Arabidopsis thaliana: one gene and its partner. The protein of the gene in region 2 interacts with the protein of the main gene of each other region in a pairwise test. Each region holds a gene or a part of one and is shown on either strand. Other genes may lie near its edges.

The links.
Region 1: the proteins of GRF5 (region 2) and AN3 interact in binary tests that used the Arabidopsis thaliana proteins (3 or more experiments, as listed by UniProt).

What each region holds. Positions count from the first base shown.
Region 1 is NC_003076.8:10,646,857-10,651,943, forward strand, and holds AN3 (SSXT family protein), read right to left. Parts: upstream 3,207-5,087; 5' UTR 2,765-3,206; coding exon 2,684-2,764; exon of another isoform or gene 2,532-2,683; intron 2,520-2,531; exon of another isoform or gene 1,686-2,519; coding exon 1,609-1,685; intron 1,530-1,608; coding exon 1,445-1,529; intron 1,365-1,444; coding exon 975-1,364; 3' UTR 611-974; downstream 1-610. UniProt on the Arabidopsis thaliana protein: Transcription coactivator that plays a role in the regulation of cell expansion in leaf and cotyledons tissues.
Region 2 is NC_003074.8:4,606,294-4,611,102, forward strand, and holds GRF5 (growth-regulating factor 5), read left to right. Parts: upstream 1-1,782; 5' UTR 1,783-2,232; coding exon 2,233-2,431; intron 2,432-2,710; coding exon 2,711-3,242; intron 3,243-3,320; coding exon 3,321-3,775; intron 3,776-3,859; coding exon 3,860-3,867; 3' UTR 3,868-4,204; downstream 4,205-4,809. UniProt on the Arabidopsis thaliana protein: Transcription activator that plays a role in the regulation of cell expansion in leaf and cotyledons tissues.

The DNA of each region.
Region 1 (5,087 bases), on a different chromosome or scaffold from region 2:
GAAGAAGAATAATGTGTTGGTCATGAGAAGAAGATATGACAAATCTATCTAGTTTTCGAAATAGCGCACTACCAGTTAGACAAAAATGAAGTCTAGTAGAGCAGGCATGAAGCCAACATGTCAAATACATACTTGGGGCCTATGGTGGTGCGGTCTAAACATTTAACTAGTGTTTGTGACATATTGTTTCAAGGCTTATAGTTTTGCCAAAGGGAAGGAAGTAATAGAATAACTGAAGACTTCTCTTGGCTTGTGATTGAGTTGTAAAAAGCAGGGGCTGGGCTTGGCCTCCTAGGGGAATCCAGACACTAGAAAAACAATCGTCGATGGAACTCTCAACTAAGGGAAATCCACACTCAATACTACTTGAAGAATCTAGGACGAAGCAAAGGGACCAAAAGACACATTTTTGAAACCCTCTTTTCTTCACGAGACTTTATCTTAAATGGACCCGAATATGGTCTTTGGTTTGAGTGCAGCTTCGGGTGGCTATGGTCCGGTCTTCAGCAGTATGGGACCTTGCGAGGACCACTAAGGCTGGTCATATGAGTCTTGGACTGAACCGGTTGGACTTTATCAACTATAAAATAAAATTATGTATAACAGCCAGAAAAAAAAAACAATAATATAGCCTACATAACGATTTAGAATCCAAATAGGTAACATCAATGATCTACAAAACTTCAGTCCTGGTTAAAGCAAAAGAGTCTAACTCAGAGAAATAACATATTAAGATTACGACACAACTTGGAGCCAGCAGATTTACATGGTACACTACCACGAAAGAGGTTCACTGTTTTAGGGAACAAACATAGAGAGAATAACAAAACTAAAAAGAAGTAAATAAAGAGTTCTTTGCTTCTTCAACAAGCAACTAAAACCAAAACACACTAACTTCAAGACTCCTATTATTACTACTACTTCTTCTGCTGCTGCTGCTGCTTCATCATTAAGATTCCTTGTGCCACACTCTTTCAATTCCCATCATCTGATGATTTCAAGTAAAGGGTTTCTCCACCATCCCCTGAACTTCCTCCTCTGCCTTCACCGCCACCACCACTTCCCATTTCCGGCTTCCCACGGCCAAAATCATGAAACCCACCAGCCTCTCCCTGAAGGATATGGAGACCACTGCTTCCTCCTCCTCCGCTGCTCGAGCTCATTCCAAGCTGGCTATGGTGCAATTGCTGATGCTGAAGCGTCGCGTAAGGCTGCTGCTGCTGCTGTTGCTGAGCATACAACATTGAAGATCGAGCCGCCATTAGAGACTGCTGAGTCATCTGTTGCTGTTGAGTCGCTTGTTGCTGCTGCAAATAGTGTGACCCTCCTTCTCCCTGAATCATCCCACCACCAGCAGATCCATACTAATAACCAAACAAAACAAATCACTTTCTCAATTGATCATACAACAAAATTTGGAATACTTCACTGTATAAACAATCACCTGGCTATGCACACTTGGTGGCTGAGGCTGAGAATCTGCTATTGCAGCTAGGTACATTAGGTTGCGTTGAAGCCTTGCTTGATTCCTATAACCATTTTAATCATCATTTCTTGTTACTCAACAGAACACAAGTGAAATCATAAAGGAGATATGTTGTCTCTTACTCGGCGCATTCGCTAAGCTTTCCAGAGTTTTGAGACTCAACAATCTTCAGAATCAACGATTTGTTTTCGTCCAAGTACTACAATCAAACATTTTCATTAATCATTACTAATGCTACAAACAAAAAATTTGCATACTATTTTGTTTTTGTTGTAATAAAGACATAGAAAATCTCAAAAGGAGACCCCAGTAACTTAAATTCCGACTTATCTCAAAAGACAATAATGTTGAAATATCACAAAAGTGTAACGAAAGATTTTCTTCGAAAAGATTTTGAGGACCACACAAAAAAAAAACTGAGATAAGGACCAGATGTTGTTTCGGACCACAAAGTATATCTGGTCATGTAAGCAATAAAAGAAACACTTGGACTGGAAAATACACATAGATCTACTTATAATGATAACAAATCTAAACAGGACCACCCACAATATTCACATAAATGGCTTTGTGGTTTTTGCCATCAATGAAACTTCCAGAACCCGAAAACCAAGACAAGAAGAAAAAACGAGATATGTGAAACAAATCTTCAGTTCCCAAGATTTGTCTGTTTTGAACACGTTATTTTTCATTACATGTTTCAAGAACTCAAAACACAACTGGACCCTAAACATTCATTTTCATTGAAAGAAAGAATCTTTCTTAACTTTGTCTGGTTTTAGACATTTAATTAGCATCAAAGTTAACTGATAATACACCAAATCTATAAGGAAAAGAAAAAAAGTTGAAAGAATCATCTTAGTGACCAAAGCATCTCTACCAACCAAATTTATCAAACATAAACACACATGTATTAAAACTAATTTCTCTATGAAAAAAAAAGACATGGAAACAAGAATAACAAGAACTCTTTTACCAAACAAAAAAGAACCAATGAAAAAAAATCATCTATGTTATGAGAACAGAAGAAAAGGGTTTCACATACTTTTTTATATAATATAAAGAAAAAGTTATAAGGTACTTGCAAGAGAGATTTCTTCACTTTCCTTTATGAATTCAAAGAAACATATAATAAAGAAAAAAGAAAGAGATAATATAATAGAAGAAGAAGGAGAAGGAGGAGAAGGAGAAGAGAACCTGTTGGATATGATCAGAGGTAACATTGCTGGGGTAGTAACCAGCCATCATGGGCTGCATCTGCATCAGGTGCTGTTGCATTTCTTTTGCTATTTTATATAAAACCTGATAATTCCTTCTTATTTATTTATATATTTTATATATATAAGTTTTTATAGAGACAACCCCCACCACAAAACCCAGAGGAAAAAGAGAAGTCTCACCAAGTGAGAGAGAGAGATATTAACTTTTGTATCTGTCTCTCTCTCTTTCCTCTATGCTTCTGTATATAGAAAACTCTTAACTATTGAAGATGTGTATCTCTGTGTGTGTGTTATCTCGCTTTCTCTCCTCCACAAAAGTTGTTTTGCGTTAAAAGACTGAGAGAGACAGTGAAGTCTCTTAAATAGAAAGAGAGAGAGAGAAGAGAAGAGAGTGTTTTTCTCTTTTTCTTGGGTTTTGGGGTTTGGTTTTGTTGGTTTCTTTCTGTCTCATCCTATCTCTGTCTCTGCGAAGAAGAGGAGGTCACGTGACGAGTCATACTTTATTATAGAGACGTGAGACCTTTACATATATACTACTACTTATCAATATGTACACATTGTTGATTAAATTATTACTTTGAAGTTTGAACCCTTCGTATATAGAGACGTAACTATATACCAAATAATACTGTTTACTCCTTCGTATGTATATACGGTGTATTTACTTGTATATATATGTAATTATGTATATTAAAATCTCTTACAACTTTTGTATAATATTTTCTACATTTATAGATTCATTTCGGGATTTTATAATAAAGTAATGCAAAGTAGGATTTATTGTTTTCTAGATTGTTTTGGTAATTTATTGTTTTCTAGTTTTCTAGTTTTCTTTTACTATATCAAAGAATATTTTTGTCGTCTTATTTTGTTTTGGTAATTAATATATAAAAAAAAGATGTCTTTAGTTTTTCGAAAAATAAGATTCATGTATTTACATTTTAATATAAAAAAATGTTCTACATAGGAGTTTTTAACCTAGTGGATTGAATTTGTATTTTTTTAATAATTTATTATATTTAGTTTTACACAACATTTTTTTTACAATGGTTTAATTTTTTATCATGAGAGGTCACATCTAGATGCGATTCTTCACATTTAAAATAAAATGGATTAATGAAAAAATTAGATTAAGAAGTAGCTATGTGAGATAATTTTCTTTGTAGATGTTTGATTGTGTTGATCAAAAGAGTCTCTTCTCTCTTATACCTTAAAATCATATTTATAGGATTTAATCTCAACCAAATTACTGAATTATGTTGTGACTTAGTCTTCTTATGCGGATTAGATTTGGCATAACTAGTTCCCTAGAACATGTTATCAAAACAAGTGTGTTTGGTTTGTTAGCTTAATGATGTTTTTCATTTTGTTTTAAAAGTAGCGCATGACTCGTCTCGTCTCATCACTAACCATCTTTATGTGTTTTGGCAAAATGCCAAAATGTAAACACATTTCTTACGCTTACCAATAGTTATCTTCTTTTTTTTTTTGGTCTTTTTTTTTTATCGAATCACGTAACACATTATAATTGACTGATATCTTAATAGATGAAATTTATCCTCAACAATGATCAATACATGTTTCTTTTTTTTTACATATGTTAATACTAACTCGATCACTTGTCTCGACCAATAAGACGAGTTATCGACCATCAAAACACTGCCCTAACTTGGTTTGAATGTTTAATATTGATGATTCTCAACCAAAGGGTCTCTAAAGTTTTTGAAATGCTTTTGTAAAGAAAATAATAATAATTAGTTTGGAGTTATTTGATAAGTCTCATTAACTTTTTGTTCGAATTCTTGAAGTACGTTTCGATGGTCGGTAATTTAAAAAGAAAAAGATTCAACAGCTATATTATCTTTGCGTGGTTATACTTAATTCCACGTTAAACCCTCTTGTAGATGTGGTTAAATATTAATTAACACTTTATTCGTTGGTACCAAAAATGGATCCGAGATATTCCTTCTGCATATATGAACCACGGAGGCTCAACTTTTAATGTTTGTTTGTTTAACTATAGTATTATGTATGAACATTAAAGTAATCTGTAAGGATAAATGAATTGTTTTCTTTTCCCGATTAATTATGTCTTATAGACAATAACCAAACCAATAGTGTTTCTATGCCATCTAAAAGCAAACCAAAAACACTAGGAACAAAACTAAAAATACCATTTCTTCTTTTTTATCAGACCAATATAGTTGTTTGCATACTGTAAATTGAGATTATGAAGTTAAAGGTAGGATTCTGAAACGCTTACAAATGATCAATTCATTTTGGTTAATACCTAAAAGAAATATTAAATTTTTACGACATTAATTTTATACTACCTTATTTTCTATATAACAGCCATAAATTTTATAGTTAATGTGAGGTTG
Region 2 (4,809 bases):
GTCTTTCCACCTTCTTCTTCATAGCTTAATCACCATGATTATGATCATATATATCTTTGACCAACCAACAAGAGTGGAGCTCTAACTAATATGTGTAGGTACCATCTTACATATCTCCATATACGCATGCATATCATTTTCGAACCAATTTAGAAGGTGATGTATATAATCAAAAGTATTTAGGATGATGGTTTATCGCGTGAACACCATTTTGTTTAAGTACGTGGTCATCGCAAGGTAACCATCTTTATTTTCTTGGGTTGATCTTCACTAGCTATATATTAACCAATTACATATGTATTATTTTGTACTGAAGAAAGGATATAATTTGTAATCGCCAAATGATTGAATTAGTATTTGCTAATTACAAAAATTTGTAGAAATCGCGATAATTATCAACTTTTTTACTATATCCCATCATTCTACTATTACGCAATGTTATCAATTGTACTAGTTTGTTTCATCCACTATGTAAAATCATTCAAACCCTAAAGTCGATGCTCATCAGCTCATGTATATGTATGTATCATGTATATGTACATAAGATATAAAACCTTTATAGATGTGCATGTAAAAGAATGGTAGATAGTAGTAGTAGGTGTGTAAGGAGAAAGATCTAGGGGGCTTCAAAAAAAGGAGAGAAAAGGACAGAGCATGTGAAAAGAGACAGAGAAACAAACAGAGGAGTGAACAGTCTTACTCTTTTTTTTTTCTATGCACTTAATGAACCCAACCCTCTCTGTATATTTCTGATTCTTCACATGTCTTCCTCTTCTTTTTTATTCCGAAAACTTTTCTTCAGTAAAAACCAATGCCGAAAAAAATACATAATAAAAACGACAAAATATCTAACATTTTTTATATAAAAAGGACAAAAGTACTTTCACTTCACTTGCAACCAAACAAACCTAGTCCCCTTCTTTATCCAATGGTCTCTCCCCTGCTCTCTATTTCTCATCTAAACACCCTTTTCTTTCTTTCTTATTTACCATTTTGCCAACTTATGTAAAAGATGTTAAGAAGAAAATGTGAAAATTTAGTAAAAATCTCTCTTTTGTATTGTCGTCAGAAACTGTAAAATAATCTTACTCTTTTTCAAGTCAGCATATAAGTTTGGTTTCTTCTCCCGAGTCAGAGATTCGTGCAGTGATGATACAAGAAGCTTATTCCGAATTCTTTTCATAAATACTCGTATTTCCTTCTTCTTTTTTTTTTTCTTTTTTTTAACATCTATCTGTTCTTCTTGCATCTATCTGATTTTCCTCTGTCTTTTAGACAGTAATAACAGAGCTCACTAAATGTAATAAATAAAAAAATGAGCTCAATAAAAAGGTAAATGGCACTCATTTTTAGGCCATCAAGTGTTGGGATACAGCTGAAATTAAAAAGGCGTCAGCTCAAAGGAAAAAATAAATAAAAAAGATTCCCAAAAATCAATGCACTTTTATAGAAAAAAATACACATAATTTCAAAAAATACTTAAATTTTGAAAAATAAGATGAAGAAAGGATTGAGAAGAGAGGAAAGAGTAGTCAGAGAGACAGGAGCATCAAGTGCTGCAGAAGAAGCAACAGGAACACTGGGCCTGAGTCTCTTCAGATTTGCCAGTCTTTATAGGACCACACTCTTCTTCTTCATCCCCCTTACATACATTTTATCTATTTTTACATTTTACAATATTGGATATTTTAATGTTGTTTTGATTTTACACTACATGGCAAAACTCCTTAAAAGCTCTTGTCCTGATGTGATTCTTTTTTCTTTTCAACACTGTCTAAATATCTCTCTCTTCTTTGTGATCACTCTTTGATTTATTAACTTTCTGATTACCATTCCCCCCAAAATAAACCCTACTAGAGTGTGACTAATTGTATAGTAATCTCTATTGTGTAATAATCTTTTATCTTTCCTCAATACAAAAAAGTAGGGTATATATATAAAAGAGGGAGTGGCCTCGTGTAGAGAAAGAACCTAGCTAGTGTTCATGCAATTTGCATCTGAGGAATATATGCTTAGAAAGAGAGAGAGAGAGAGAGAGAGAGAGAGAGAGAGAGAGAGAGATATCAAACCAGAGGAAAAGAGTGACAGAGAAAGTGGTCATCTTTGTCTGTCTCTGTCCGAAACTCAGGAGCCCTAATCTCTGAATCCATCAAGAAAGCTCTTTCTCTTCCTTCTTTTATGCTTCTGAATTTGCTACATATATAAACTATCTGAAGAAAGCTAGAGAATAAGATGATGAGTCTAAGTGGAAGTAGCGGGAGAACAATAGGAAGGCCTCCATTTACACCAACACAATGGGAAGAACTGGAACATCAAGCCCTAATCTACAAGTACATGGTCTCTGGTGTTCCTGTCCCACCTGAGCTCATCTTCTCCATTAGAAGAAGCTTGGACACTTCCTTGGTCTCTAGACTCCTTCCTCACCAATCCCGTAAGCCCTATACCTATACTTAATTTTCTTTCTTTCATGTTTTCTTTTCTTGCATAAAGTTTCAATCTTTTGTTGATTCTCATGCCCCCAAAGTTTTCAGCTTTATGTGTTTTAGAGTGATTTGGTTTCTGGTTAAAGTCTCTAGCTTTTTTTTTCAACGACCACTTTTAAAAACTCAGTTTCCACAGTCTTACTTTTAATGATTTTGGAACTTAAGGTCCTAATTAGGGTTTTACATCATGATTAATTTTAGGGTTTCGTTTTAATTAAATGATGCAGTTGGATGGGGGTGTTACCAGATGGGATTTGGGAGAAAACCAGATCCAGAGCCAGGAAGATGCAGAAGAACAGATGGTAAGAAATGGAGATGCTCAAGAGAAGCTTACCCAGATTCGAAGTACTGTGAAAAACACATGCACAGAGGAAGAAACCGTGCCAGAAAATCTCTTGATCAGAATCAGACAACAACAACTCCTTTAACATCACCATCTCTCTCATTCACCAACAACAACAACCCAAGTCCCACCTTGTCTTCTTCTTCTTCCTCTAATTCCTCTTCTACTACTTATTCTGCTTCTTCTTCTTCAATGGATGCCTACAGTAACAGTAATAGGTTTGGGCTTGGTGGAAGTAGTAGTAACACTAGAGGTTATTTCAACAGCCATTCTCTTGATTATCCTTATCCTTCTACTTCACCCAAACAACAACAACAAACTCTTCATCATGCTTCCGCTTTGTCACTTCATCAAAATACTAATTCTACTTCTCAGTTCAATGTCTTAGCCTCTGCTACTGACCACAAAGACTTCAGGTTCTGTGATCTTATCTTTAGTTTCTCTTGTTGATCTTTTATGGAAACTTTTATTGATGGATTGTTTTTTGAATTCAGGTACTTTCAAGGGATTGGGGAGAGAGTTGGAGGAGTTGGGGAGAGAACGTTCTTTCCAGAAGCATCTAGAAGCTTTCAAGATTCTCCATACCATCATCACCAACAACCGTTAGCAACAGTGATGAATGATCCGTACCACCACTGTAGTACTGATCATAATAAGATTGATCATCATCACACATACTCATCCTCATCATCATCTCAACATCTTCATCATGATCATGATCATAGACAGCAACAGTGTTTTGTTTTGGGCGCCGACATGTTCAACAAACCTACAAGAAGTGTCCTTGCAAACTCATCAAGACAAGATCAAAATCAAGAAGAAGATGAGAAAGATTCATCAGAGTCGTCCAAGAAGTCTCTACATCACTTCTTTGGTGAGGACTGGGCACAGAACAAGAACAGTTCAGATTCTTGGCTTGACCTTTCTTCCCACTCAAGACTCGACACTGGTAATTAATTAATCTGCAGACGTAATCTTATGATCTATGCTAATTATTGATAGTTTCAAAATTAGTTTAAATTTATTTTCTCAGGTAGCTAATTAAGTAGAGCTGGCATCAATGATGGATCTGCACCAACACACACAACTGTGAAATGTTGAAGAAGAGTCACATTTCACATCTATTTCCGTGGAACAATGAGACAAGACACTGTTTGCAGAATCCTATATGTATTTTTTCTATCTTTTTCTATGTGTGTTAGGTCCAACAAGAAAAAGTGATCCGACAGATATATCTGTATGTGTTCTCTTGCTTTCTCAAGAAATCAGATTTTATTTTACTGTCGCTGATAGCAACAAAAGAAAACATGACTTGATTTGTGAGGGGTATCGTTATATATAATTTATTTGTTTCTTAGGATGCAAGCATCTATATAGTTTCACACATATAATCTAGATTTTTTCTAAGGCCATGTTCTGATTAACTTACTTTAAATGTAAAACATTCATGCAGAGGAATAATAGTAGACTAGGTTGCAAATTCTGTAGGGCAAAGGATACGATTATCCGCAATTAGTTAAAGTTTTATATGTAAACACAGACACAAATAATCAATTACTATCTAAATGGCTGTATGTTGAGATTATCCGCAGGTTATGAAATGACGTTACATAGGCCCAAGTCTTGAATCACGCATTTACGAAACGAGAGTATGGTCAAAACTCTACATAATATGGCAAAACATTAAACTTATTATTATAAGAAGAAGAACCATAAATTTTGTTGTCGTTTATAGAAAACAAACAATCATATACAACTTTTGGTGTATGCTTCCTTCCATGTATGTGCTCCTTTAGCAAAAGGAAAGATGGGAGAGTTAAAAGACAAAACGTCATGACTCTTGATCCATTAATCCTTTTACGTGCGTATGAGTACTTGGAATCATTGGTCATTACCAACATTAATCTTATATTTTTAATATAAATCTCATACGTATAAAATATGTATGCTGAGAATTTTTAAAAGCATGTTGCCACCGAAGAT